2 linked regions of the Cricetulus griseus genome follow. The protein of the gene in region 1 interacts with the protein of each later gene in a pairwise test. Links are inferred from orthologs where the notes say so. Each region holds a gene or a part of one and is shown on either strand. Other genes may lie near its edges.

What was found.
Region 2: the proteins of synphilin-1 (region 1) and Nub1 interact in a two-hybrid assay, tested with the Homo sapiens proteins (2 studies listed by BioGRID). The link is inferred for Cricetulus griseus from reciprocal best matches to the Homo sapiens genes SNCAIP and NUB1.

The regions. Positions count from the first base shown.
Region 1 is NC_048595.1:185,755,348-185,770,631, reverse strand, and holds part of synphilin-1, read left to right. Parts: intron 1-8,857; coding exon 8,858-9,726; intron 9,727-11,578; coding exon 11,579-11,758; intron 11,759-15,284. UniProt on the Homo sapiens protein: Isoform 2 inhibits the ubiquitin ligase activity of SIAH1 and inhibits proteasomal degradation of target proteins. Isoform 2 inhibits autoubiquitination and proteasomal degradation of SIAH1, and thereby increases cellular levels of SIAH.
Region 2 is NC_048601.1:97,823,621-97,838,904, forward strand, and holds part of Nub1 (NEDD8 ultimate buster 1), read right to left. Parts: intron 11,085-15,284; coding exon 10,967-11,084; intron 9,270-10,966; coding exon 9,102-9,269; intron 6,308-9,101; coding exon 6,249-6,307; intron 5,445-6,248; coding exon 5,374-5,444; intron 2,227-5,373; coding exon 2,044-2,226; intron 1,883-2,043; coding exon 1,794-1,882; intron 626-1,793; coding exon 519-625; intron 1-518. UniProt on the Homo sapiens protein: Specific down-regulator of the NEDD8 conjugation system. Recruits NEDD8, UBD, and their conjugates to the proteasome for degradation. Isoform 1 promotes the degradation of NEDD8 more efficiently than isoform 2.

The sequences.
Region 1 (15,284 bases):
GTTGGGATTCTAGTTACGAAGAAGCTGAAGTGGCTCCATCCATGCCTTTCCACTGGTTGCTGAGATTCCATGACCAACATGTGACCCAAATAGAGAGACCACGAATTGTCTGTTTCGGGAGTAGTTTTAGCTTTGACAGAGTGGTCCTCTGGTGCTATGGAAAGTTGGAGTCAGGCAACCCGTCTTCCTGATTGAGAAATCAGAATGCTACATGATTTCCCACGTAATACTTAAAATTCCCTGGGTTCTCATTTGTTTTCAAATGAAAATTCATAAAAATTGCCCATCCATCTTCGAGACCTGTTATGAAAAATCTCTGATGAAATCAGTACTCTCTGTGCTCAGAAATACAGAAACTCTGATGTGGATGTATTGGCAAATTTCATGTGTTAAGCCGAGGGAAATCCCAGTGAAGATACCATTTTGTGGAATCCAAGAAATACATTTTCATCTCCTTTCACTTGTTATGCTAATGTCTGTGGCGTATGTACTGACATAGCTAATTCCTAAATGAGGATATACACGCCACACTTATAAATGAAATAAGCTGGCATTTTAGGAGATGTTAAGTAGAAAGTATGTATTTTCTAAACACACCACACACACACACACACACACACACACACACGCACACACACACACGCAAACACACACGCACCTACCTTACCCCAATTCCCTGCTCTGTCTGCCCTTAGGAAGGAGCAGTCATAACTGTGCGCTTTGTCCTTGGCAGTAGGTCGGTGCTGTAAAACATCGCCACCTTCAGTTAGAAGAGGTTAGTGTGTGCCTTGCCCATCAGAAAGCACGTTCGGGTTACTACTCCCAAGCAGTCTTTTTCCAAGTGTCTCAGCTTGAAGAGTCTTTTCATTGGCATTTCCCTGTGTTTCTTCGTACAATTCCACAGGGTGAAAGAGAAGGGAGGAGGGGAGAGAAGGAACCTAGTAAATCGGCCTGGAATGAACACAAACTTAATCTGCTCGCAAGGTTTTGTTAATGTCACAGTGAAAGCCAGAATACTTTTTGCATGACAGAATAGCTCTGAAAGCATGTGTTTTCTTCAGACCTACCAATTGCCATTCTGAGTAAACTGTACTTTTGAAACCTAAGGATTTAAACTTGTCCAAACACTTAGTCTGACTTCATGATAGACTACACCTCTTTGGTGAAGATCTATCTTTTCTATCCAGGTTTATAGGGCTTGAATATTTCAGTGAGTTTTCACAGAACAAAGAAACAGGCAGAGATCAGCTGCGGAGTTATCTGAGCAAGCCTGCATAGCTATGGACAGAGCTGAGAGCAATAAAACATGAACCTGACATGTTCAACAACAGCTGCTTGGTACCAGTGGCCTTTTAAAGACAGGAGGCTTAAGACCCAAATCGATGACATTTTCCTCACAGCATGTGGATAGATCAATGAGTGGAATGTTTGTAAGAATGAAGTCATGCGTATTTCCCCTTCAACCTCAGGATACCATCAATAAAGGGTCTGTGGTATCAGTGAAAGGGATAAGCCAGCAAGCCCATTGGAACATTCCAGAAGCTTGTGTTCCATTTACACACATCACTCTTCCCAGCATAATGTCCTGACACAATTCTCCAAAGCTAGCATTCATTCAGCCATCCCTGAGATCAGGTTGCAGACTAACTTTGAATGGCAGTGCAAAAGGTCACCCTGATTGTAGTTCCCATTCAGACTCAGGCACATACCTCCTTCTTCTTGTCATGAGGGGACAAAAGCCACTTGTCATCACTTCTTAGAGATCCTAAGGTGTTTGTATTCCATGGGTCCACTACAGATTTCATTTGACCAATGGTAACAAAACTCAAGACTCTAGCATGGAAGGGGCTAGAAATGTGCTTGCCTACTGTGTGCCCAGCCTTGCGTTTGATCTACAGCACGACATAAACTGAACGCTTTTGGTGACTTATTATTGCAACATTCAAGAAGTGAAAGCAGGAGGATCAGAAGCATGCGGTTATCCTTGGCTACACAGCAAGTTCAAGGACAGCCTGGGCTACATGAGACCCTTCATTAAAGAAATAGTTTAAGGAGATAGAATGCTGGAGGACATGTAGGGTGTATTTCTCAATGTAGGTTGTTATGGATATGTAGTCTGTTACGTATACTTAAAAAAATTGAACTGACCCGTTTGTTTCTCACAGAAAGGAGAAACCATTTAACTTGACATAATCCTTTTTTTCTCTTCTCACTGTCCCATCCTAATTTTCTAATATGCACACAGCTCTCCATATTTAGAAGTAAAATAAATGGGCATTTTAGGAGCCAATATTGATGTTTAGTCTTAAAAGTTGGGTCTACCATGACAACAGCAAACGGTCCATTATCTTCTTAAAGAAAACAATTTATCAAGCCTAGGAGCCAGATTGTGTCAGCAATCATCTCAGCCTCATAATTATAAATTTGTGAGGATCTGGTAAAATGCATGAATCCAAAAGAATTATAGTGTTTCACTGTGAGTCAGAATCAAGAACCCTGTTATTTTTGACATTCTACATCATCAGAGATATTTATGGAGGGTCAGATCTTAGCAATGATATTGTCTAACCTTGTTATTTTCCAGATGAAAAAGAACTTTTTTTATTTTTTGTTTTTTTAAGACAGGGTTTCTCTGTGTTTCCCTTGCTGTCCTGGAACTCACTCTGTAGACTAGACTGGCCTCAAACTCAGAGATCCACCTGCCTCTATCTCCCAAGTGCTGGGAATAAAGGCATGCTCCACCACCCAGCAAGAACTTCTTTCTTTTAATTATTTTTACATTTGATTTTCTTTTTTTCAGATTTTTTTATTTGAATTAGAAACACGATTGTTTTACATGACAATCCCAGTTCCCTTCTCCCTCCCGTCCTCCCCCCTCCCCTACCACGCCCCCCAACTAAAACCCTACCTATCACATATCCTTTCTTCTATTCTTCCCATGACTCAACCTTTCTGCTCCCTCATGTCCTCTGCATTCTTCCTCTTCTTCCCTTCTCATTCTCATAGCTCCCTCCCCCCTCTTCCTGTGCTTTCAATTTGCTCAGGAGATCTTGTCCCTTTCCCCTTCTCCAGGGGACCATGTATGTCTCTCTTAGGGTCCTCCTTGTTTACTAGCTTCTCTGGCAGTGTGGATTGTAGGCTGGTAATCCTTTATTCTATATCTAAAATCCACATATGAGTGAGTACTTATCATGTTTGTCTTTTTGTGATTGGGTTACCTTGCTCAGAATGGTTTCTTCGAGTTCCATCCATTTTCCTGCAAATTTCAAGCTTCCATTGTTTTTTTCCGCTGAGTAGTACTCCATTGTGTAAATGTACCACATTTTCTCTATCCATTCATCAGTAGAGGGGCATCTAGGCTGCTTCCAGTTTCTGGCTATTACAAGTAGTGCTGCTATGAACATCGTTGAACAGATGTCCTTGTTGTATGAATGTGCTTGTTTTGGGGTATATGCCTAAAAGTGGAATTATTGGATCTCGTGGTAGACTGATTCCTATTTTCTTGAGAAGTTGCCATACTGATTTCCAAAGTAGCTGTACAAGTTGGCACTCCCACCAGCAGTGAAGTGTTCCCCTTTCTCCACATCCTCTCCAGCATAAACTGTCATTGGTGTTTTTGATTTTGGCCATTCTGACAGAGTAAGATGGTATCTCAGAGTTGTTTTGATTCAACAAGAACTTCTTAAGAGGATATATTAAAGTACTTCTCTATGCAGCAAGCCTTCTAACTGTCCAAGCCATTTGAATAACTTATTATCTTTCAAATTCTTGCCTCAGTTTAGCCCCCCAAAATGGACTCATTGTAACAAAACTTAATTATTTATTATATTTTGCATTTTTGGTTCAATGTATCCCCTTTACTCACTCATGGAAAGACTGGGTCACAGAACCCCATTGTCTTTGAGGATCTTTCCTAGACCATGAGCTGGTTACAAGCAGAAGTAGCTTCTCGAGGGACCCTCAGGAGAAAGTGAGGTTGGTGTACCACTTTCAGACTTGCTACAGGCATATCTCCAGGGAACTGAGAAGCAAAGAGCAGCTATTCCCTGGGAGAGTCAGAAGAAGTGGCTCAACAGGGCAACACTGGATGACTCATGTGTGCTGAGCATGAGTCACAGGCAGAGACAACAGCAAGGGATTTCTAGAAAAGTCAGAACAGGCCCAAAGGTAAGAACCATGATAGATGGCCATAGCATATCCAGAAAGATTGGACTGAGCAATAGAGGAGAAGGAAACAGCAGGGGTTTGGGAATCATGAATGCTGTAAAAAGAAGGTAAATTATAAAGTGAACAAAAGAAACACTGCAGACCATGCTAAAGAATTTTGTTAGGAACAAAACAAAAACTAAAACCAACAACAAAAACAAACAAACAAACAAAACAGTGTCCACAAACCCTGCTACTTAAGTAATATTATAAATTATGTTTTATACCCCAAAATCCCTTTTTTATTTTAAATATAAATAATGTATGCTATTATTTATAAAACATATTTTTACAGCACTTTACTTTTAAGTATATTTGTTTTTTAGAAGAAGCTGTTATGCTGTAAACAGAAAACCAGTATACTTGAAATGAATCCTAGGACATCATTGAAATGTGATGAACATAAAAACCTCCAGTTAATTCATTGCTTATGAAATCCACTGACCCTGAAACTTGAAGTCTGTTTACTAAAGGATATTCTAAAATTTGGAGTGGGATTAAATCCTAGCACCAAACTAAGACTCCTTAAACAAATGAGGCGAAAGAAGACTGAACACTGAATAGTTTTCTCACACAGTAAATGAGGTGTGTTTATCATGGGTCCTCGGGTGTGTCTGACCCAGTGGGGATATGCATCCCATACCAGTGTCATTTTAGGAAGTATGGGACACCTAAGGTTTGGAAGCTAATTTTGGGTGGCAAAGTCAATCTTACCCAAAGAGGGATTAATTGGACTAGAAAGAGAGACCAATGGGAGACAAGAAACCAGTGTGTGATGGTTATGGAAAAGGATCCCAGTGTAACCAGTTAATATAGTGAGGATATGGAAAATGGTCCAGATTCAAGCGTGATTTGGGATAAAGCCACAAACTTTTGTCTGAGCAATGTGAAGCAGGGACCAAGAGAATAGAGGGACAGACAATGCCTTAAGTGAATGACTTAAGAGACTATATAAATGACACTGTGGTTGTTTAAGCCAGGATCAAGAGGATAGTGAGGGGGCTTGAGGAAGGGAAAGAGTAGAAAAAGACAGAGGTGGAGAGAGTCAGACCCCTGAATCCAGATGCATTGCCATTCAGAGAACTTTGCATATTCTAGATGCGAATTACTGCTTGTTGGGAACATGGCTGACTTTTGACGGTTATGTGATAACTGAAATTCCTTTGCTAGTGCTCAAATGCCAGCTAGATGATAGGAGACTATTTTGCCTATAAATGATCATCGTGAACATCCAGCTCACTACTGATGGTTTTAAAATTTTGTGACTTCATCAGGTAGACAAATTGAAGGCACACTAAACATATTTACTGTCCTAAGATGTTAAAGGTGAATGCAGCTAAAAGCAAAACATCATTAAGAACCTTCTTAGGTAAGCAATCTGCTGGGAGTTTTGAAGAATAGAGAGCTAAATTAGGCACAGACATTGTTTTCATAGAACTCATAAAGACTAAGATAAAAATTCTTCAGAAACTTAAATTATGTTCATGTGTCAAGAATTTGTACATAATAGCTAGTGAAAAAAATCTAGCCTCAAAAATCTCCCAGTAGCCATAGTTAGTGTGAAATTTGTTCCCATGGATGACTAGAATGTTGTGATGGTACTGGAGCAAAACAACAATAAAGTGAATTTAGTGGTACTCTTAAAGAATTGAAATGGAAAGTCTTGTCTGCCATTAATAATCTTTTATGCTGTGTATTTGCCCAGCTTAGGAAAAATAAATGAATGTTTGTGTTTTGTTTGCTGCATTTCTGCCCATCCAAATATGTGACATGGCAACAAATTTGAGCATTCTCATGAAACCCATTAGTTCATTTTTCATAAGCAGGTTTCCCCCCTTGGTAATCAAGACAGGCTAGAGGGCACAGATTTCATCCTAAGCCCACAAATCAGCCATAGGCTTGAATGAGGAAAAAGACAACATTCCCAAATATTGATGCTCCTTCTCCAGTTTCTAGACCTTTCTGTGGAAAGAAGTGTTTTCATAAAACATAGACAGAATTCATTTACATAGAGCACTCTTAATGGCTCCTGTCAGAACAGAACAGCTGGAAAACATATGGTACCCATTTCCCTGTATCACTTGGAAAAAAGTTCACATGTAAATAAAGCCACCATAAAAGAATAGCCTTTTTGAACCTGTGACCTTATATAATACATAAATATATCAGTAGAGGACACTGGTTGCATTGACCCAGTAAGTCATGTGGCTTTAAATATTTTTAATACAGTCTAAGATTCATAGTTCTTATGAGCTCCAAAGAAATCAAGGTAATTGACAAAATATCAGCAGATACCATGCCAAACAATAAGTATGTGTCTTAGAATGTCTATAAATAGGTTTTCCCACAATATTTATAGATTTGGAGAAAGTTAGTAAAATCAAATGCCTATTTACCCCTTTTAAGCTCCATGTCTTGTCTCCCTATTGTTTTATGTGAAATAGGCACTGTATGCTCTTAAGGCAGAGAGAATGGCTTGGCAGAAATTTCTGGCAAATGATAACTTTTCATAGCTTTGCATTTCTAGAAAGACAAGAACATATAAAAGAAAATTTTTACATTTATACGGAATTGATTGGAATAATTAGCCTTTGCCTTTGCATATTGACATTTCATAAATGACTTTAAAGAATCTAGCTTCTTCTGGCGATTATCACTCCTTTGGGTTTATTACGGGAACTTATTTCCCCCTGTGAAATTAAGCTGTAAATCCCTCAGAAGGATTCACTTTATGCATGTTAAAAGATCAAATGAGTTGTGCAAAGTGAGATTCAAGTTCACATACTTGTGTCTGTTAATTGTCTGCTGCAGGCCAAGCTTTGTGTACAGCTCAGAACTCGAGACAAAACAGTGTGGGTAAGAGAAGCAGGAGGCCATCTAGATGCCTTCCTTCTCCTGAGTATCCCTTGCTTTATGTTGCTCATTGAGAAGAAACTAATCCTCCCCCTATAAATTTTAGAAGCTTTTTGCTTCTAAAGGTTGAGAGTCAGAAAAGCCTCCGGGGTGAACTGTGCAGTACAGACCTTCTGAACCCTATACCACATTGTCAACCATTTGGAGAACAGAACTTAGGATTTTATGGTAGGCAGGCTCAGGACACTATATGCTTTATTTCATAACTTCTCTGAATGCTTTTAGGACACATCTCAGAATAAACAATGACTAGAAACACAAATTTAGGGAACTCTTTAACTGTAAGAATAAGTCATTACCAAGGATATTATAAAAGTTACAAACCTTAGCCGGGCGGTGGTGGCGCACGCCTTTAGTCCCAGCACTCGGGAGGCAGAGGCAGGCAGATCTCTGTGAGTTCGAGACCAGCCTGGTCTACAAGAGCTAGTTTCAGAACAGTCTCCAAAGCCACAGAGAAATCCTATCTTGGATGGGGTGAAGGTTACAAACCTGAGCACTTGTGCTGTCTCAGAGTCTCTCGCCCTTTGGCTGTGCCCAACAGCAAAGACAGGTAGATTTGCTTACTCTGGGATGAAACTTTCCCAACTGCATTTGTTTCATAGGATAGAGGATAGTTGGAAGAAAGCTTTGTCTGCCTTACGAAAGATGATAGAAACCTATAAAGTAGCCTGCTAGTCTGTGACAATGCTGGGTCATCTGCCTTCTAGTAAAGGAGTGTCTCAGACAAAACAGAGCCGTGCTGTGGGGACAGCCACTCTGAGACATGCTACCAGCATCTTGATTGTATTCAGGCTTCTTAGAAGAGGTTGTGGTTGTTATCTTTTATCTCCAAATGTGTCTGACTACTTCACTGTCCATCTCAACCACCTGAATGTAGGCTAGCATGCAATCTTTATTTTAACTGCACAAAAATGAGATAAATTGAAAAAAGGCAAGTTTGAGTACTAGTCTGCTTTCCCTATCTGACCTTCCTGCCTCCCCTTGCTCTTGTTTCTACCTTTCCCAACATGGAGGGTGGTGTCACTCTAAAGAGCATGTTGTTGTCAAATGGAAATGTGTTGTGTTGTGTCATAGGTTGAGAAGCACCAGGAGATGGCCCAGCATGATGGTTGTCTAAGATGCTTAGTATAGAATGGGTCGACTCAACCATGGCCTGCCTCCCATGGACAGACGAGCGCCTGACCACTTTATGCTTTTCTTTGCTGTCGCTAACCATAAAATGGAAAACTATCAAGTCACATAGTAGGTCACAATTTGAGTTTGTAGAAGATAAGTTATGTTTTCTTCCATGAATGCATGGATGTCTTACAAATTAGAGATATGTGTACAGGCTAGTACATGCTTTTGCAAGTGTATTGTGCAAATATATCATTGTTCACTGCTTGGTTTGGAAACCCATCCCTGTTCTGTTTTGGTTTTGTTTCAGGGTGGTGACAAACATGTAAATAGTACCAGAGATGCTGAGCCATAAACTATCTGTCAGGGTTTATTTAACTTTCTGCTTTTATCACTATTGCTACTTCAGTTAGTTCTGGGTCATTATATCATGACTATCTCATCTTTCTCTGCCTTGCAGTGGTAAATATGAAGCATTAGTTTTATGGATATATGTCCCTTCGTGCTTTATTCCCTTACACAGGGGCCTACTGTGAACATAACGTAAGTGAGCCATGTCTACCTACGTGGCCAAACTGTATTCAGTTCTAATTTAATAGTCTCCTCTATTATTTTTTAACAGTTTCTAGCTCTAGCTGGAATTGTGGTGTCTCAACTCTCATTACAAACCCACAAAAGCCCACTGGAATCGCTGATGTATACAGCAAGTTCCGCCCAGTGAAGCGAGTTTCTCCACTGAAACATCAGCCAGAGACTCTGGAAAACAATGAAAATGATGACCAAAAGAACAGTACAGTAGAATACCAGAAAGGGGGGGAGACTGACCAGGGCTCCCAGCCTGAGGAACTCAACCCTGAAGATGGAGTCAGGGGCTTGCCAGGTAAGGGCTCTGAGCCCAGCCAGGCACTGGGTGAGCTGGAGCATTATGACCTTGACATGGACGAAATTCTGGATGTGCCTTACATTAAATCCAGTCAACAGCTGGCCCCACTGACCAAGGTGACTTCTGAAAAAAGAATTTTGGGTTTATGCACAACCATCAACGGCCTTTCTGGTAAAGCCTGCCCTATTGGAAGCACTGAGAACTCCACAGTCAACATGACTCCATTTTGTGTTCTTTCCCCTGTGAAAAGCCCTCACTTAAGGAAAGCATCGACTACCCTCCGGGACCAGAACAAGCTCTCCACAGAAGACTCTGAGAACTCCCCTGTTCTGGGTAAATGTGTCCCTGCATATGAGTCAGAAAACCACAGTAAAGACTTCCTAAACAAGGCCTTTAGTGATCCCCATAGTCGAAAAATCGAGAAGACCGGGCCAGACTGCAAGCTCAGGGCCTTCCACCTGCCATCCTCAGCAGCAGGGGCCAAAGCAGAAGAGCAGGTCAATGGCATGAACTGGACCAATGCCCAAGGCACAGAAGAAAGGAATGAATACCTGAAGAAAGTAAGAAGTATAGTGAACATTGTGAAAGAAGGCCAGATATCACTCTTGGTGAGTATTGTCTGTCTGTCTTTAGACTCCATCTTATAACAGGATGAGTTTTGCTTCATGTCTTTCTGTGAAGTTTTTTTTTTTTTTAATTAGTTCTTTGAGAACTTCCTAAAACATGTTTTCTTCACTCCCCTTGTTTTGTTTCTTACTGAATCTTGTTGCTTTAAGGCGTGAGTTTTAAACGTTAAATTTAGGGGGTTAATTCACAGGACACAAATGGCTCCAGAAGACTGTTAGTGCAGTTTAACATCGTCTGACCTCAGCTGGAATAACGACGTTTAATCTAAAAGGAAAACAAAACAAAGAGCCAGCACTGTTTTCCAGATGACTTGTAATGCCTTTTTTTTTTTTTTTTTTTTTTTTTTTGCTTTGCTTTTCAAATGGTTCCCCATGCTCTCCCTCCATTTCTGTGAGGATGTCAGTTTTTAGCTGATGGCAGACCTGCCAGATCTGTGAACAGAGAGTTCTCTGTTTCACCCTGATCATTATTCAGGAGAGTTGGGCTGGGGGGTTGGAAAACATTTGCAGATACAGCTTCCCCTAGAGTTTGATTGTTCTCTGACACACACACACAGGGTTTTTGCTTTGCTCCAGCATGTCACCAAAGATTCCAGACACAGAGTTACTTGATATAAGAAGTATCTATTGAGGAAAGCTCAGCTGAAACAGCATTCCATCTGCTGCACTGTTCTTTTCTAGTTCCTAGACACTGGTCAAATAGTACCAACCTTGGGCTCATAATGTGAGGATAATTAAAGTCTCATTCAGGAAACTCACGGCATCGAGGCATCATGATTCCCCAAAATGTGAAGCATGCACAGATAAACTATAACATATTGGGACTGGCATTGCAAACAGGACAATATGATTGAATGATTTTACCAAGTGAAGCCACAACTTTGTTTTTCTCTTGCAAATGTCTTTTCCATTTTTCCTGGCTGTTCCCTCTGACTCTCTTTGGTTAATTCTTTCTCTTTGCCTCACATAGTCAGAAGTCCCTAATGCTAATACCATTCAGTTTACCCAAAATATTCTATCAAAACTTCATACTGTGAGGACTGAATTTCACTAGAGACAGAAAAAAAAACAAAAAACAAAAAACAGCCAAAGAACCAAGTTTCCTCCAGATATCCCAGATACCCCTGGGAGTCACTGGCTTGTCTAGAGGTTCCTGTGGATGCTCTGGTAGCCACAGCCTTTAGGTAACATGTAGAGGCAGCGAGCCTTACAAGTCAACCCCCCCAAACAAGTACTTCATTCATGCAACAAACCTCCAACAGTCAATAAAGCATAGCCCTGTCCCTCAAGAACTTAGCGGTACAGTGACAGAGACAGAGAAGCTGTTGCTTGCCATCAGTGTCACCTCAGAGACCTAAAAATCCAACTAGAAACCTTCGCAGCTCATCGGTCCTAGCCCTGTGACCCTTTTTCACAAAACCATTTGTCCCTTGAGAGCACATGTTCTAAAGCAGAGATTCTCAACCTTCCTAATGCTGGGACCCCCTTGATTCAGTTTGCGGTGACCCCCCAACCATAAAATTATTTTCCTTGTTACTTCGTAGCTATGATTTTGCTGCTGTTATGAACTATAATTTAAATATCTGCGTTTTCTGATGGTAAAAGGGCCATTCAACCCCCAAAGGGGTCATGACCCACAGGTTGAGAACCACTAGTCCAAAATCACTGTTCTAAATCATGTTGCAAGAAAGACAAATAGCAAGGAACTCTGACTAACTAGAGGCTTTCTATGCCACCAGGGCCCTTGTGAGCTGTTCCTCCTTCCCTTCCAAAGGAGAACCTCCTTTGTGTCCTGTTTTGACTTACTGATTGAAGCCTCCCCCTCTCTGTACAGCCACACCTAGCTGCAGACAATCTGGACAAAATCCACGATGAGAATGGAAACAATCTGTTACATGTCGCAGCGTCCAAGGGGCACGCAGAGTGTCTACAGCACCTCACGTCTCTGATGGGTGAAGACTGCCTCAATGAAAGGAACACAGAGCAGCTGACTCCAGCTGGCCTGGCCATCAAGGTGACCTCCTGGGGGCTGAGCTGTCCCGGGTTTTGTCTTTGGATTTGATCTCCGGTTTTTCAGATTTCTTGTGAGCTAGGCTATTGAAAGGGGGAGAGGAGAGAGTGAGGCATTAAGCAAACAGAAAATGAATGTATCGTATGTAAGAAGTTAATCACTTCAGTCACTACCACCTGAGATTTTAATGGCACTCCACCTTGTTATCTAATAAGGATAATTTCCAAATCAACCCACAAAGAAAGAAGATGACCCCCGGCAGGGCTGAGAATTCTGTTACTCATGGTGATTGCAATTCGGATTCTTACCCACACCTGGATCTCTCAGGAACTGTGTCAATTTTTCCTAACATGGGAATAAGAAACAAGAATTAGATCAAGGTGTGCTGGTAAAGGAGGCTAGCTAGCACTTAGGAGTTTCTGAAAATAATGTGGGCTTTTATTGAATCAAATCTGAGTTTAAATGTCATCAGCATTAAAACTGTTTACAGCATCATCGAGGATCCTGTATTTAGTTCTCCAAAATAGCACAATGTGCTATCTGTCAAAGTGTATGCAAATCAATGCCAACTGGGATGGAGTTAAAACCTGGACCATAACACAAGTAAACAGGGACCTTTATACCACTGTGGTAAGAGTGTCTGGCGATTGACCGAGTCACGTGAGGTTAGCTATTAAACTAAAATAGCTGTTTGGATCTTTGGCAGATAAATGTAGAATTCAGTCATACTTACTAAGAAGCCAGAAGTGAAGTTCAGAGAAATAGAATACATCTTGTACTTCTGCATATAGACTGCTTTACACGATAGCTGGATCTCCTAAAAGCCAAATGTATCATTTTTATAAATGAAATTGCATAAGTGTTGAATACGAGAACCAGCTAGCTGAAGAAACATACTAGTGAACTAACTAAGAAACACATTACATTTTTAAAATAGTAAGTTTCTATCTTATCACAATATGTCTTGCACATAAAGCTGATTTTTAACTTTAATGCATTTATTAATCAGTAAAGTTTATATGTTAAAAATATTGTTTTATTTCATTTTGTTCCCTAGTAAGTATGACTTTATGACAAAATTTTCATAGTAAATATTTTGTTACAAAGAAATCTCTGATGCTGGGGAATATATTTTTCTCTGGTTGTGAATAAGGCCATGTCAGATCAGAGTTTACTACAGCCCATGTGAAAAAAGAGAAACTGAATTCAAAGGAAAAAAAACTCGTCTCAGTACAGTTGAGTTCAGTGTGTGCTGAAGCAAACAGCTACTGTGTTATTGGGTGCTGCAGGTAAAAATTTAAATAAGACATAGTACCTATTCCTAAAGAGCTGATAGACCTAGTGACTAAATCAGGAACCTTGGTTACTGGTAATGACTGTGTCAGATAGTTAAGTCATCATCTACTCCTCTGACACAGTCCAGTGAGATGACTGGGTATAGTGTGGTTATCCATGGGCATATGTCAGTGATAAATATCCTTATAATGCCAGTCAATGTGGGCATCTGCCATATTTAAAGAATGGCTTAGGGTTTATGAAATGTAATTCTCATTAGTTTTCCAAACTAATGGTAGATGGTTGAATATTTCCTCATTATATAATTGAATGGAAGCATATTTTTTCTTAATTGACATACCTTACTGCTTCCTTTGGGTAGATTAAAAATTTTAGAGCATGAAGGTTCATAAGAAACTTAGTAGCCATTAAGCCAATCCTCAGTGTGAACAGCTTCCATGCTACCTACACATGAAGACTTATTTTATTCCTAAACTTCAGCCACCACAGTACAGCCATCACCAACAGATCTGCAGGTTTACATGGCAATTTCTGTTTTAATTTGAAGGAAACACATACACAAATACACACAGACACACACAGACACACAGACACACACATACACACACACAGACACACACACACACACACACACACAAACACACACACAGACACACACATACACACACACAGACACACACATACACACACACACACACACACACACACACACACACACACACACAAACACACACACCTAAAATGCACAAGGCTAAAGAGCTCTTTCAGATTTGGGGACTTGGGCTTCTGAATTATTTCAGTGTTCTTTGTATTTCATCATTCTAATTGCATTGACAAAAAGGCAGCAAGTACAATTGTTTCGTACGAGCACCTCTCCCCTCACAGGTATGTATGACCCGATGCCTGCAGCTCATTCAGTGTGCTTTGATTGACACCGATGAAATTGAGAGTCCTAAGAAGTCTTAAGAAGTTTCCAGCTTTAGTATCTTGTTTTGAACACAGACAGCAACTGATAGTATTTCACCACATTAGACAGTTCTAAGAGGGGCTGGAGAGATGGCTACAAGCACTTGCTGCTCTTGAAGAGGACCAGACTTTGGTCCCCATCACCCACTTGGTAGCTCATAGCTGACTGTAACTCCTGCCCCTGGGGATCTAAGTGTAGCTGCAGTGGATCTGATGCCCTCTTCTGTCCTCCAAGAGCATCAGCATGCATGTGCTTGTAAGTAAAACTGAAAAAATAAAACACCGCTGAGAGCCCTGCTGCCTGACATTAAAGACAAACGTACTTGGGACAAGTGACCCAAGTTTCTTGCAGAGTGTGCCTCAGCTGACCGAAAGCATCCAGAGACAAAATGAAGAACATCATTTCCTCATTCTCAAACTCTTTAAACAGAGGATAATAAATAATTATTCTCATTACATTGCATGACAGCCTTTATTGAGGGTTTTCCAGGAGACTCAAGAGTGGCTGCTTTGGGAGTTTGTGTCCTTTGGAAATAGCTAAACAAAGTCACTTCGAAGAAAGAATTCTGGAAGGTCTGATTTCTAACACAGTCTGTTTTCTAAAATAGAATTGGCAGGAGGAATTATTTTAGGACCTGAACAAACTCGGGTTGAAATAAACCAAGTTCCTTTTTTGTTTTGTTAACTTCTCCTTTGGTCATTCTGATTAGGCCCAAAGGCAAAGTGTTGATCTGGTGATAACACACCCTTTCAGACATTCGTTTTTTGATAACATGATGTCACAAACACACTTACATAAATTATTTTTTATATAACATGATGTCACACATTCCCTTACAGACATTCTTAAAAAAAAAAAAAAAAAACTCAAATAACTCTAAACCCAGAGACTTGGGGAGGCAACTGTATCCTGCTGGAACTTAATTTTTTTTGTTGATTTGTGTTCCTGTTACTTGAATTTAAAGCAAGTTATTTTGGTTTCAAATTCAGGGAAGTAATATTTCCTTCTGTTCTTTGATACATTTTATTGTTTAAATGCCACCCCTTTGATTCACCAGACCTAAAATTCGTCTACAAGAACTGCCTCCCACAACCCTTGAATATAGCCACTTGTCAAGGGCGCAGAAAACATTTCCTAGGATACAGTCTATATGGTCTATATGGGGTTATATTAACAAACCCAACAAATTGTGAAGGATTGAAAAATATTCCTATACACTTCATCCATCATGAAATGCAATTAGAAACCAACAACAGAAGGAAACAT
Region 2 (15,284 bases), on another chromosome or scaffold:
TGTGTATGCATGCACTGTATACATAATAAAGCTTAAAAAAAAAAAAAAAAAAAAAAAAGCAAACCTCAGTTTGGTCACCTTTGAGGAACCAACAAAATCTGAAAACTACAAAATAACACAAAAGGAGCCAGGCATTTGGCTTTCTTCCTGAGAACACTGCACCTCAGCATAAATGACAGCTCATGAGACCACAGAAGAGCAAGAGCGCCAGTCTGCAGTGTGCAGTGCAGTGCAGTTCATCACCATTGCACCGACACCACTTGGAAGAAGAGAGGAGCAGTGTGGTGAACAGCTCTGGTGGCAGCATACTGGGGGGGGGTGCAGAGCCTGTATACTAGGGTCAAAATGAATGGGTGGAGGGGAGGGGTCGGTTAGAAATACAAAGGAGGAGACACCCACAAACTGGTGTGTGCCTTAACTCCTCATTCCTAGCAACTGCTGTGGGGTGAAAATCAGTCTGGAGTTATAGACTGGGCTTCCCCCTTACACTAGTGCCTGCTGAATACAAAAGTACCTACCAGAAATACCTGTCAGCATCCAGAAGGCATGGCAAGGCTATGCCGTACTCTTTTCTCTTCAGAAAAGCTCTGCCCTTCTCATGGTATCCCATAGCTAGCATAAGGGCCTAGGAAAGAATGTGGGATCTTAAAAACAGCTTTCAAACAAAATTAGAAAAGCATTCATAAAACAAATTAAAAATCATATTAGCTCTAATGAAAACAAGGCAAAAAACAATTAACTGTTATAATTAGAGCTTTCTCTCACTGAAGCCCTGAAGCTAGACTCTCAAGTCAATGTGGCTGACGTCACAGAGTAGCATCAACTCCTCCAGGGTATTTTTTGTTGTAGTTGTTTTTACCCATCTGCTGGTCTAGATCTAATTCTAGTTTTCCACAAGACTAGACAGGATGAACATCTAGTAACTATTACAGCCTTTCTAAGGAGTGTACAGGTATGGCAGCATGGACCAACCTGTGAGAACCTGAAGGAGGAGACTGTCAGGTGGAGGCCAGCCTGAGCTAAGTAGCAAGACAGTCCAAACAGTGTGTGATATACCCTATCACACACTCATTTTTGGCTGTGGTTTTGTTTTTGATTTGGGGTCTCTCCCATCCTCCACCTTCACAGGCAGTACCATCACACTTCTGAAATATTTGACAATGCCAGCATTTCCAAGATAACAGTTTTACATTTATTTGTATTTGTGAGAGCGTGCTCACGCTCACATACACATTTGTGCCACAGCATGTGAGTGGAGGTCACAGGACAGCTTTCAGGAGTCTTCTTTCCATGCAGGCTCTTGAGATGGAGCTTATACCTGACAGCAAGCACCTTCACCTGCTAAGCCATCTGGGCCCTCCAAATTCACTTTCTTATTATGGATACAGTGTTCTGCCTGATCTCATTACAGATGGTTGTGAGCCACCATGTGGTTGCTGGGAATTGAACTCAGGACCTCTGGAAGAGTAGCCAGTGCTCTTCACTGCTGAGCCACCAATCAGGCCCCGCATATCCATTTTCAAAAGGTTAGGATAGCTTAGGCTGTGTACTAAATGAGGGTTTGGCTTCCAGCCTCCCCAGTTGACCACCCAGCTCTTAATTCAGATTAATTCAAATAGTGAAGCCTACCCCCAAATTGTCATTTAAATACCAAAAAGATACAAACAAAACCAAAAAACCTCAAATTACCTTGATCCCTAGTCAGAACTCTTCATTCTAAGAATTTTCTGGGACTGACTACATCTGTCTGATCTGTTCTGACAACCCAGCAAGCCTCCCACACCTGTACTTACTTTCCTTTCGGCAGGGGGAATTCTGATGGACCTGCCCGTCTGGTTTGCAATGTCTAAGTAAGGCATCGTTTCCGGATCCACCATCTCCGCTGCAACAAAGCCATAGGAGTCTCATTAACTCATGGTTGAACAGCAGTGACCGTGACAACACTTGAGATGCCATACTGTGGAGCACTCCACGAGAAGCAGGTACGCTCTGTGAGCTGACTTGATGTGTCTGAGGGAGGGGACAAGCCAGAATTCTATGCACCTCTCTCTGCCAGGATCTCCAACCCCCTTTTGGTCCTCTGAATGCGTTTCTCCTTCAGCTCAGCCTCATTCTGCTCCTCTTCCTCCACCTGGGAGCTTTTCCTCACATCCTCTTCAGACTGCTTCAACTCTAGCACCATCGCCTTTACGTTGTGAGTCACTCCTTGTTCTTCAAGGGTTTTCCCTGGGAACAGCATAATTGCCTGTCACACACACTTCCTGGGCAACAGTCCATTTCCTACAGTAAATGGAGTCCTTTTTTATTTATTAATTTATTTTGAGTGTGTGTATGTGAGTGTGAGTGTGTGTGTGAGTGTGTGTGTGTGAGTGTGTGTGTGAGTGTGTGTGAGTGTGTGTGACTGTGTGTGTGTGTGAGCGTGAGTGTGTGTGAGAGTGTGAGTGTGTGTGTGTGTGTGAGAGTGTGAGTGTGTGTGTGTGTGTGAGAGTGTGTGTGTGTGAGTGTGTGTGTGTGAGTGTGTGTGTGAGTGTGTGTGTGAGAGTGAGTGTGTGTGTGTGTGTGAGTGTGTGAGTGTGTGTGTGTGTGTGTGAGTGTGTGAGTGTGTGTGTGTGTGAGTGTGTGTGTGAGTGTGTGTGAGTGTGAGTGTGTGTGTGTGTGAGTGTGTGTGAGTGTGTGTGTGTGTGAGTGTGTGTGTGTGTGTGAGTGTGTGTGTGAGTGTGTGTGAGAGTGTGAGTGTGTGTGTGTGTGTGTGTGTGAGCGTGAGTGTGTGTGAGAGTGTGAGTGTGTGTGTGTGTGTGTGTATACAACTTGCAGGAGCCACTTTTCTGCTTCTATCATTTGGGATCCGAGGACCAAACTCGGGTATCAGGCTCTGTAGCCAGTGTTGTTTACCCACGGAAACACTTCACCAGCCTGGAAAATGGAATTCTAAAACCTGCATTCACACTTGGAGACCAGTAGGCCACATTTACTCTTTTCTTATTTTCTTTCTCTTCACCCTACTGAAGTAACAAGTACTATGCCAGGCAGCATAAAAGGAAAACAAAAGTGTAGCCAATATACAAACTTTGCCAGTCTCTAGTTGAGAAATAACTAACTCAAGAAGCCACAGTGCAGTATCAACAGTGAGGCCAGCTCTTGTGATGGTGAAAAGCAGAGGCCACAGGTTCCTGCCTTCCACCCCATGGACCTGACTCAGGCCACAGGTGCCTGCCTTCCACCCCATGGACCTGACTCAGGCCACAGGTGCCTGCCTTCCACCCCATGGACCTGACTCAGCTGCTGCTTCCCTAGGATGCATTTCCTCGTGTAATGAGTAGAAATAAAGACAAGAACAGAAACCATGAAACACAACAAGGGGAAATAGCTAGTCCAGTGAATAGGTTAGCCAAACACTACAGAAAAACCTAGTAAAAATGATGTTGAGGGCAGAGAGGTGGCTCAGTGGTTAAAAGCACTGGTTGCTCTTCCAGAGGTCCTGAATTCAATTCCCAGAACCCACAAGGCTCAGAACCATCAGTAATGGGACCTGATGCCCTTGTCTGTCCAGCAGCCCTACAGGAGGACAGAGCACTCATATACATAAATAAGTAATCCTTTAAAAAGCTTAAAAAATAAACATAGCAAAAGAGAAGGTAAGTCCGCAAAGATGGACACCGACAGCTTCCTTTATCCCTGAAAGCTGAGAATCAGCTTGGGTTTCCTTCCAGAGTCCCCTACAAACAGCTGGTGGTTTATGAGGGCTCCAGCCTTCCTGCACTTCCTCCTTTGCACACTTGCGCAGTGTTCCTCTTCTTGTGTTTCTTTTTCAGAAATGACAACCATTCTACCATTCAAATACAAAAAGCAAGATCCACCTGGACAAAGGAGGTGGCAAGAGGAAAAGTCACCTGACTAGATTTTGTTGGTTTTTTTTTTTTTCAAGACAGGGTTTGTGTAGTGCTGGCTGCCCTGGCAGTCACTCTGCAGACCAGGCTGGCCTTGAAATCAGAGATCTGCCCGCCTCTACCTCCAGAGTGCTGGGATTAAAGGTGTGGGCCACCCAGCCCACCTGACTAGATTTTTGTGGGGGATGGGTGTGAAGGTCACAGGTCATCCAGTGTCTTCCTTAACAGCTTCTTCACATTATTCTTTTCAATTTTTTAGACTTATTTTACTTGGTGTAAATGAGTATTTTGCCTGCATGAGTGCAGGGATACCAACGTGCCATTGGATGTTGTGGAACTGAGCTATTGATTGTGAGCTGCCACATGGTGCTACAATAGAAACTGGGCCATCAGGCGGGCGGTGGTGGCATAGGCGATTACCCCAGCACTCAGGAGGCAGAGGTGGGTGGATTTCTGAGTTCAGGGCTACACAGGGAAATCCTGTCTTGAAAAGTGAAAGAAAAAGGAAGAAAGAAAGAAGGGAAGAAAGGAAGAAGGAAGGAAGGAAGGAAGGAAGGAAGGAAGGAAGGAAGGAAGGAAGGGAGAGAGAAAGAAAGAAAGAAAGAAAGAAAGAAAGAAAGAAAGAAAGAAAGAAAGAAAGAAAGAAAGATGAAACTTAGGGTTCTAGGGACTTCCCCTGGAGATCCATGAGCCCTCATGAACCACCTGAGCTGCTAAAGAGATAATGTATCTCGGCTTCCACTCATGCCTCCTGCAGATTGCAGCCAGTGGTCTGTAAGCCACAATGTCCCTGTGTGCACTCTGCAGTATCAGTGACCCCCATCTCTCTGAGGACAAACTCCATACTGAACAAAGCTCATTGTCGCAGGCTTCTCAGCAGCACTCACCATCTGGGGCAGATACCTGTGACGTGGGGCTTTTGTGAGGTGATGGGGACTGTCTTGCATTTGGCAGCCACTGATAGGCGTGCAGCCCCCACCCCCAACTAATTATAATCAAAATCGTCTCCTCACAAAGTCAGCTGTCCCTTGGAAGGTGAAACTGTCTTCCCCGGCAGAGACTCACTGCCGGAAGACTCCCATGGCCCATTTGCTCTCTACATTCAGAAAGGCCTCTACCCTACACTCAGTTTCCTTGGCTGTCCGCAGAGTGTTCCAACCTGGCCTGTCCACCCGTCTCTCTCAGGGTCATAGAGAGAACTGAGTAACCCAGATCCTCCTCTCAGCACAGACTTCCATTCTGGAATATTCTTGTGGCTGAAATCAATGTCTTTCTTCCCCACTACCCAGAGCAGGCCTGTGAATATTTATTGTAATGTCCTTTTCTGCTTTACATCTTCATTATGGTAAACTTTTAACATTAATTGACTTTGGATAATAAATGCAACATGGCCAGGAAGTTTTCAATAGAGGAAAAGCAAGAAAAAAATACAAAAAAATGGAAAGTCACTACTTATACATCAGATGCATTCTTTGCTATGACATACCTAGTTGAAGTTGTTTCTTATTTATTACGATCTTGATGTAATTTTCTTGAAATCCAAAAGTTTCGGCTATTCTATAAAATAAACACAGTATAAGCTGCAGGAAGCAAATCTGTTATTTGTTACCTACTATGAAGACTTGGATCATGATGGCCACTTAATAGGTTTTTACTTAGAAACACCCAGGCTATTCACCTATTGACCTGTAAACACGACTACAATAAAGCTGGTGCAGTGGCAGCTGCTGGGAGCTGAGTGAGCCAAGCTCTTTCTAAACTTGTATCTGAGCTGAGGATGTCCATCTGAGTCACACTCTCCCAGCATCCTCTGAGAACCCTGCAACTGTCCCATACCACTGCCTACTTGTGGGCATTGAATGAGTGATGCTTCCTCATTCTCCAACAGAACACTTGGGTTGACTGGCCTTTGCTGAATGAAGGTCACAGCAAACAATTAGTGCTAAAAAAGAATGGAATTATAAAACATGCTCTGTTCAGTGAAAAGATGGCTCCTGCTTCTATTCCTCAGTTACTCACTCAGGTACAAGTTGGGCACCTCCTCTGTGGGCCCCAAGCTGAACCCCTCTAAAAGCTGCACTGCATCCAAGAAGCTCCCATGAGCAGGTCTCACTCAGGCAGCCATGAGCAGGTCTCACTCAGGCAGCCATGAGCAGGTCTCACTCAGGCAGCCGTGTTGCCTCTTACCTAGCAGTGTGTGAACCCAGAATGACCTCTTTCTTGTCCCACCCTCCAGGTTTCATTTCTTCAGCTGTAAGAGGAAAACAGGCTGGCTCCCTCGCTTACAGGACAGCTTGAGAGCATTCAATGAACCAGGGTAAGAGGGGCAAACCTGTTGGGAAACATAGCTCAGATACTCACTTAGACCTCAGGTCTCTACCAGTGACATGTAAGCGGGTCTCCAATAAACTTTTCTTGTCCTGTTGAAAAAAGACAAAACTAAATGTACTTGAGTGTGACACTTCTTTGGACTGCTACCCTGCATGTAAGGTTGTAGGGTACTGTGACAGGATGTAAACTCGGGTTCTACTTAAGGACAAACCACTGCCTGTACAGAGAAGCATAAACACAGTCCAGCACAGACTGACAGAGTGACCTGAGTACCCCTTGAGTGCTCAGTGGGACTTGTCACATGGCCAGCCATCATCATCAAAGTGCATGACACTGGAGGGATGGCTCAGTGGTAAGAGCATATACTTCTTTTAGAGGACCTGAGCTCACTTCCCAACATCCACTCGAGCAGCTCACACCTGACTATAATCCACCCTGAGGATCTAATTTAATTTACTCTTGGCCTCTGGGGGCACTTTTGTTTACATGCACAAACCCAGAGACACATACTTATATATAATTAAAAATACAAATAAAATCTTAAGACAGGGCTGGAGAGAAGTTAAGAGCACTGACTGCTCTTCCAGAGGTCCTGAGTTCAATTCCCAGCAACCACATGGTGGCTCACAACCATCCGTTATGAGATCTGGTGCCCTCTTCTGGTGTGCAGATATACATGGAAGAAGAATATTGTATACATAATAAATAAATAAAATCTTTTAAAAAAATCCTAAGACAATGAAATGTTTAATAGAATTTCTGAACATTCCCCACTCACCACCTATCACCAGGTACCATGCCCTACACCCCATCCCTCTTCTTCCCAGCCTTGCAACCATTTCTTTTCTATTTTGGACAAAATAGAAAAGTTGTCTACAAAGTTGTCTATTTTGGACTCTTCACTGAAGGAGACCACAGAGCGTCAGGCCTTTTCTGCACGTTTCTGAGGTGGCTCATATTGCAGACTATTAGTGTTGTGTTGTGTATCTGTGCCACCAGCTGTCTTCTGTGGCGTGGGTGTATCTGTTTATCCACACATCCACTGATGGCAGTTAGGCTTCTCCCTCTCAGCCATCATGAGTGGTGCTACTGTGAATGCTCACCAGTCAGTTTATTCTTGCGTTTCATGTGTTATTGGGAGTGCACATGTGTGATGTGTGTGAGATCCAGAGACTGGTGACAGGTGCCCTGATTACTATCTACCCTTCCCTTCCCTTTTCTTTTCTTTCTTTCTTTCTTTCTTTCTTTTTTTTTTTTTTTTTTTTTTTTTGGTTTCTTTGAGATATGGTTTCTCTGTGTAGCCCTGACTCTCCGGAACTTAAATTGTAGACCAGACTAGCCTTGAACTCAGAGTTCTTTTTTTTTTTCCCCTCCCAAATAGAGTCTCTCATTGATTCACTGGCCAGTGAGCTTCAGGGATCCATCCACATCCCTGTAAGCCTATAACACTCAGGGGTTGAGTTACAGGAACCCTTACACACCTGGCTTTTTACATGGATTCTAGGGATCTGAACTTAAGTCCTCATGCTTGCATGGCAGGCACTTTTACTGTTTTGTAACATGCGTTGTTTTTTCCTGCCTTTGAAAAAAAGTGTGTGTGTGTGCGCGCGTGCGCGCGCGTGTTGGGGCAGAGAGGACATGTGGGTGTGCCATGGCACGCCTGTGAAGATCAGAGGACAGGGCTGTGGTCGCAGTTCTCTCCTGCCTTTAATGTGGATGCCGGGGAATCCCAATGACATCAACAGGCTTTCTGGCAAGCATTTTAACTGCTGAACCATCTCACCTGCCCACATACAAATTTTGAAAATGGTCAACATTGTTTGGTTCTGAGAAGGCTGTAAAGTGCTTGCCAGGAAAACATGCTGACACGTACTACCTGAGGATGAGGCCCTGTGACAAGGGGCTAGTCCTGTTCAGCACTTAGCTGACTACGGTCCATCCATCAGAATAGGACTTCTTCAGGGAGTGTCCTGCAACATAGGACTCTAAAACCTGCTGTCTACTTTGACTTCTTAAAATTTATTTCCCGTCACGTTTATTTTACTTGTACAGGTGTTTCCCTCCATGTATGTCTGTGTATCATGTGTGTGTGATGCCCAAGGAAGCTAGAAGAGGGCATTGGACCACCCCGGGACTGGAGTTAAAGATGGCTGTGAGCTGTACTGTGAGGGCTGAGAACTGAACCTAGGTCCTCTGGAAGAACAGCCAGTGTTCTTAACCTCTGAGCCATCTCTCCAGCCCTACTTCTCAGTATCTGTAATCATTAAACTAGAAAAGGTACAAACACACAGCTCTGTACATGGTTTTTTTTTTAATTTTTTGAAGTTACATTTATTAATTTAGCACTATCACACCATGGAGCACTTGTGATCATAAGACAACTTGTAGGAGTCAGTTCTCCTTCTACCGTTTGGGTTCTGAGGAACACATCCCAGTCATTAGGCTTGATGACAAAAGCCTTTACCTGCTAAGCCATCTCACTGGCCCATGGACTGGCCTTGAGCTCACTGTGTAGCTGAGGATAACCCTGCCTCAGTCTCCCTGGTGAGATTACAACGGCACTACCATGCCCCCCACTTCTGTGACTGATGTTTTAAAGAACAAGCTACCTTAAATGTATCATCACCATTCAACACCTGCAGTTCCTTAAGCACTCTCTGGCAGATTTACAGAAACAAGCGCTCACTGGGCACTGTGGCACATGCTCTAGCCCTAGCACGTGGGAAGCACAGACAGAGTAGGCCCTGGGAATTCAAAGTCATCGGGTCTGTATATGAAGTTCCAGGACAGCAGGACCACACAGAGAGACCCTGTCTCAAAAAGCCAAACCGAACAAACCAACAACTCAATTACAGCAGGACATGTGCAGCGGGCGTTACTCACCCTCCTGAGTCTGGGAGGCAGGAACACCTCGATTGTGGCAATCCCGGTTGCTCGGTAGTGCTCATTCCCTGTGCCGCGCTCAACTGCTTTGCAGCGGATCTCTTCTATTGCGTTCTCCACTTCATCTTCACAGCACTCGAGGCGGTCAGAGTACTTCTTAACAAGGTCCTGGGAGGAGAGACCAGGCTGCAGCTCCCCAGAGCTCCAGTGCAAAAATACGGAAAGAAAAAACTCCCCAAAGCAACGTAACTGACAAGCGGAGGCCCCCTCATACTGAAATTCAATCTCAGCTCCCAGGGAGGATTCAGGGAGAAATTAAAGCACTTACAAATAGTAAACATTTCCGTAGCAAAATGAGAGTAACTGGGATTATTCCGGGGGACAGAAAGGAGGGCTGAGACCCTTATGGCCTTAATATATTAGAAAGTACTTTAAGGAGCAGTGAACCAGGGCCACTGAGATGGCTCAACAAGTAAAGGCACCTGCAGCCACGCCTGTTGCCTTGAGTTCAGTTTCTGGGCCCTACATGATGGGAGAGAATCAAGTTCCAAATTGACTTCTAACTTGTGTGTACATGCACAAACACACACACAACTACTTTTTTAAGTTGTGGAGGCTGGAGAGACGGCTCAGGGATTCAGAGCATTTGTAGCTTGCAGGAGACCTGGGTTCAGCTCCTCACACCCATAGGGTAGCTCACCACCATCTGTAACTCCAGTGCCAGGGGATCCAATGTCTTCCCTCTTTCTGACTTCCAAGGGCACCAATCACACATGTGGTGCATACATGCACTAAAAATACTCACACATGAAATAAATATAAAAATCTTTTTAAAACAGTGAACTATTCATTGTCATTGGATGGGAAAAAATTTAAAGCAAAAAATTCTAATTTTTCAAACTGTATGAGATCAAGACAGATTAAATAACCTTTTTTATTTGGTTAGGTTTTTTCGTTTTGCTTATTTTTTAAAAAAATATTTGTTTATTTATTTATTTAGGTTTTTCGAGACAGGGTTTCTTTGTGGCTTTAGAGGCTGTCCTGGAACTAGCTCTTATAGACCAGGCTGGCCTCGTACTCAGAGATCCACCTGCCTCTGCCTTCCCAGTGCTGGGATTAAAGGCATGAGCCACCACGCCCACTGCTTTGTTTTTTAAAGATTTATTTATTTATTATGTATACAGTGTTCTGCCTGCATGTATCCCTGCAGGCCAGAAAAGATGGTTGTGAGCCATCATGTGGTTGCTGGGAATTGAACTCAGTGCTTTTGGAAGACCAGCTAGTGTTCTTAACCACTGAGCCATCTCTCCAGTCCCTTGGTTTTGTGGTGTGTGTGTGACAAACTCCTACTCATAATACATTTTAAATAGTCATTAGGAGAAGATGGGAAGAATATACCAATATCAATGATATTTACTATATTTTTAAAAATATATTCTTTGAGATAGGATCTCAGCCAGGCGTTGGTGGCTCACGCCTTTAATCCCAGCACTGGGGAGGCAGAGGCAGGCGGATCTCTGAGTTCAAGAGAGCTAGTTCCAGGACAGCCTCCAAAGCCACAGAGAAACCCTGTCTCGAAAACCAAAAGAAAGAGAATGAAATGCCAATAATAGGACTGGGGGTGTGGCTTGGTGGTAAAGAGCTTGCCTAGCATGTGTGAAGCCCTGGGTTCTACCTTTAGTGCTGAAAAAAATTAAATTAAATTTTTAAAAATTAAAAATTAAATTTGTTCTTTACTAAAGGTTTTAGTGCTTCTAAAAATTTTCACAGCTGTGCCTGATAATTTCTGGGGACTCCAGACTAGTATTTACTAAGGGAGTTATGACATTGCAAAAGATTTACATTACATATTAAAAGAAAAATACCTTTAAGGCCAAACCAACTTCTTTATTTTCATCAGTATATGGAGGTTTCCAAAGTTGAATTCTATCTTCCCTTAGAAACTGGGTCAATTTTGCTTGAAGATATTTCTTCTGTGCCATCCTTGAAAGTAAAACTGTAAATCAATAAATCACATCACAGTTTAAAATGCTTTACATATTACCTAATCTACGGAGGTGTTCTGCAAAGTAAGTGGAGTTCCCCTCTGTGCCTGTCAGTTTAACCTAAACTACTGTATCTAATTACATGTAAGTCGATATAAAATGTTTCTTTTGTTGTTCTTTTGGTTCCCCCAACCCCACCCCCAGTAAGGGTTTCCAGCAGCCATCGGCTCCCTAGTGCTGGGACTAAAGGCATATGTTACCATACTTAGCTTAAAATGTCTATTTCAAACTTGCTAATATGTAGCAAGGAGTAGTTTACGCTCCTGTTTTCTGTGCAAGGAGGGAACAAACCAGGATATTACCCATGCTAGGTCTGTGCCCTACTGGCCATTTCTTACCCTGTTATTCTCAGAAAGACAAGTTAAGGGGCTGGCCAGACAGCTCAAGGGTTAGAGTATTGGCTGCTCTTCCCAGAACCCACAAGGCAGCTTACAACCATTTGTAACTTTAGTTTCAGAGGAGCCAAGAGCCTTTTCTGGAATACAGACATACATACAGGCAGAACACACATCCACATTAAAAAAAGAATTTTTTTTTGGGGGGGGGCGGTTTCGAGACAGGGTTTCTCTATGTAGCTTTGGAGCCCATCCTGGCCTGGAACTCACAGAGATCCACCTGCCTCTGCCTCCCGAGTGCTGGGATTAAAGGTGTGCACCACCAACACCCGGCAAAAAGATATTATTTTAAGCAACACAATATATAGCTTGTAAATTCTCTCACACTTTGACTGCTTTAACTCTAAACCAAAGACGAAGCTCTCTGGCAATTAAGCACAAAGAAAGAAAAGCTAGTTTGAACTATGAACTATCAATAATAAATGTCTATATAGTTGAACTTTGGAAATTAAAGAGTTAGCTAAGCGTGGTGATGCACACCTTTAAGTTTTTGGGAGGTGGAGGCAATGTGAGTTCTGGGCCAGCCTCTCAAAAACTAAATAAAATTTAAAAACTTACAACACTACCACTATTTCACTTGTTGTTTTATTTTTGTTTTGAGACAAGGTCTTACTCTGTAGCCCAGGCTGCCCTGAAGCTCAAAGCCTTAGCTTGACAGTGCTTGGATGACAGGCATGAGCCACCACACCTGGCTCATAAGGTTTACTGTTTTCGTTTTCACTGGCACTTCTGAGCACACAATAGCACATCCACTCTATTATTCAATCTAACAGTGGCCAGATCATTTTACAACTGGGAAAGCCCAGGCCCTAGGTTTGTAAAACCACATCATGAGCCAGTGCCAGGACTGGCATGGGACATCTGCCCACATCCGAACTTTGTCTCACAATCTCTTGCTGCCTGTCCTCAGCATGCACCTTCTCTTTTCTACAGAGGAGGGAGTTATGGTGGTATCCCACACCAGCACAGCTATTCCAAGGGGTGGGTGAGGCTGCTGAGAGCTAGCGGCAACTGGGAAGTGTAGTGAGTGTTTCAAGGTTTGCCAAGTCAAACAAAGGAGAAGTACTCACCCCTTATAAATGAACATGAATTTCAGAGTGGAAAATGGATGGATGGATATCACTTAAATGTTTATTTTTTCCCCTATGGAGGGCTAATATTCTACAGCCTCCTGAACATCGTCCAGGAGGTGATATAGCATTATTCCTTTTAAAAGAATGCTCAGATCTGTCTAAAAGAAACAGGTTGTCAGGGCGGTGAATGGAAAGAATAGTGAGTGTGCTGTGTATGTTTTAGTCACTCACAAACCGATCCTCACAGCAAGACACATCAGCACTTAGAAGCATCTGCTTTGCAAACACAGCCACTTAACTCACCAGACACAGAACTGAAATCTACAAAAATTCTGAGAAAAAGATCACTGCATTCCAACACTCAGAAGGCAGAGACTGGCGGATCTCTGTGAGTTCAAAACCAGCCTGATCTACAAGAGCTAGTTCCAGGACAGCCTCCAAAGCCAGAGAAACCCTGTCTCACCCCCCCCCAAAAAAAATCACTGAACCTCATAAGGAGGGTGGCAGAGATAATTTACCGGCACCCAGCTATTTAAAAGGTTGAAAACAGCTTTCCAGACTGTAACCAGTCCACTGTCTGACAAAAGGAGACAAGGTTATCACAACCCTCATCTATGTTCCAATACTGCTGCCAGGTCTGTATAACATAAAATTTTTTTCTGAGACACAGTGTCTTAGTTAGGGTTTCTATTACTTTGATGAAACAACATGGCCACAAAGTAAGTTGGGAAGAAAAGCGCTTATTTAGGTTACACTTCCATATTGCTGTTCATTATTGAAGGAAGTCAGGACAGGAACTCAAACAGGGCTAGAACCTGGAGGCAGGAGCTGATGCAGAGGCCATGGAGGGGTGTTAATACTGGTTTGCTTCCCATGGTTTGCTCAACCTGCTTTCATATAGAACCCAGGATCACCAGCTCAGGAATTGGTACCACCCACAATGGACTGGACCCTCTCCCATTTATCATTAATAGTGAAAATGCATTACTGCTGGATCTCATGAAGGCATTTCCTCAATTGAGGCTCCTTTCTCTCTTGAAGACTCTAGCTTATGTCAAGTTGACACAAAACCAACCAGCACACAGGGTATCACTACTTAGTTATGGCTGTCCTGGAACTCACTATGTAGACTAGGATGGCCTTGAACTCAGAGATTCAACTGTGCTGGGATTAAAGGCGTGAGCTACTAAGCCTAGTTTAATGTTTAAAAAATTAAATCAGAGCCAGGCTTGGGTGGCACACCCCTTTAATCCCAGCACTCAGGAAGCAGAGGCAGAGGCAGGCTGATCTCTGTAAGTTTGAAGCCAGCCTGGTCTAGAGAGTTCCAGGACAGGCTCCAAAGCAATACAGAGAAACACTGTCTCCAAAAACCAAAACCAAAACAAAACAAAAACAAAAACAAAAAAAAAAACCCACCCCCTCACACACTCACAAAAAGACAAACATGGTATGTACTCACTCATATTCGGATTTAGACATAGAGTAAAGGATTACCAGCCTAGAATCCACACTGCCAGAGAAGCTAGGAAACAAGGAGGACCCTGAGAGAGACATACACAGTCCCCTGGAGAAGGGAAAAGGGACAAGATCTCCTCAGCTAATTGGGAGCATGGGGGAAGGGGAGAGGGAGTTAGGGGAAGAATAGAGAGCAAGAAAAGAGAAACCATAATAGAGGGAGCCATTATAGGCTTAAAGAGAAATCTGGCACTAGGGAAATGTCCAAAGATCTACAAGGTTGACCCCAACTAACAATCTAAGCAATAGGGTTGGAGAGATGGCTCAGAGGTTAAGAGCACTAGACTGTTCTTCCAGAGGTCCTGAGTTCAATTCCCCCGCAACCACATGGTGGCTTACAACCACCTTGAACAAGATCTTGTGCCCTCTGCTGGCATGAAGGCAGAAGACTGTATACATAATAAATAAAATCTTAAAAAAAAAACAAAAAGCAAAAACAATCTAAGCAATAGTTGAGAGGCTACCTTAAAAGCCCCTCTCCAATAATGAGATTGATGACTACCTTATATGCCATCCTAGAGCCTTCATCCAGTAGAAGCAGACACCCACAGCTAAACACTGAGCTGAACTCTGGAATCCAGTTGCAGAGAGGGAGGAGTGATGAGCAAAGGGGTCAAGACCAGGCTGGAGAAACCCACAGAAACAGCTGACCTGAACAAGGGGGAGCTCATGGACCCCAGGCTGATAGCTGGGAAACCAGCATAGAACTGATCCAGACCCCTTGAACAAGGATGTCAGTTTGGAGGTCTGGGGTCTCTGTTAGTGGATCCGTATTTATCCCTAGTGCACAAATGGACCTTGGGAGCCCATCCTACATAGAGGGATACTCTCTCAGCCTAGACACACTGGGGAGGGTCTAGGCCCTGCTCCAAATGATATGACAGACTTTGAAGATCCCCCGTGGAAGGCCTCACCCTCCCTGGGGCGCAGAAGGGGATATGACAGCGGATCGGTGGGGGGCAGGGGAGGAGGAGGGAACTGGGCTTGACATGTAAAACAAGCTTGTTTCTAATTAAAGTTAAAATTATATTTAAATTTTAAAAAAGGAAAAAAATTAAACCACCATAGCTGGCCATCCTGTTGCAGGCCCGTAACACCATAACTAGGGAAGCAAAAGCAGGCGTATCTCCCGTGAATTGGAGGCCAGCCCGGTCT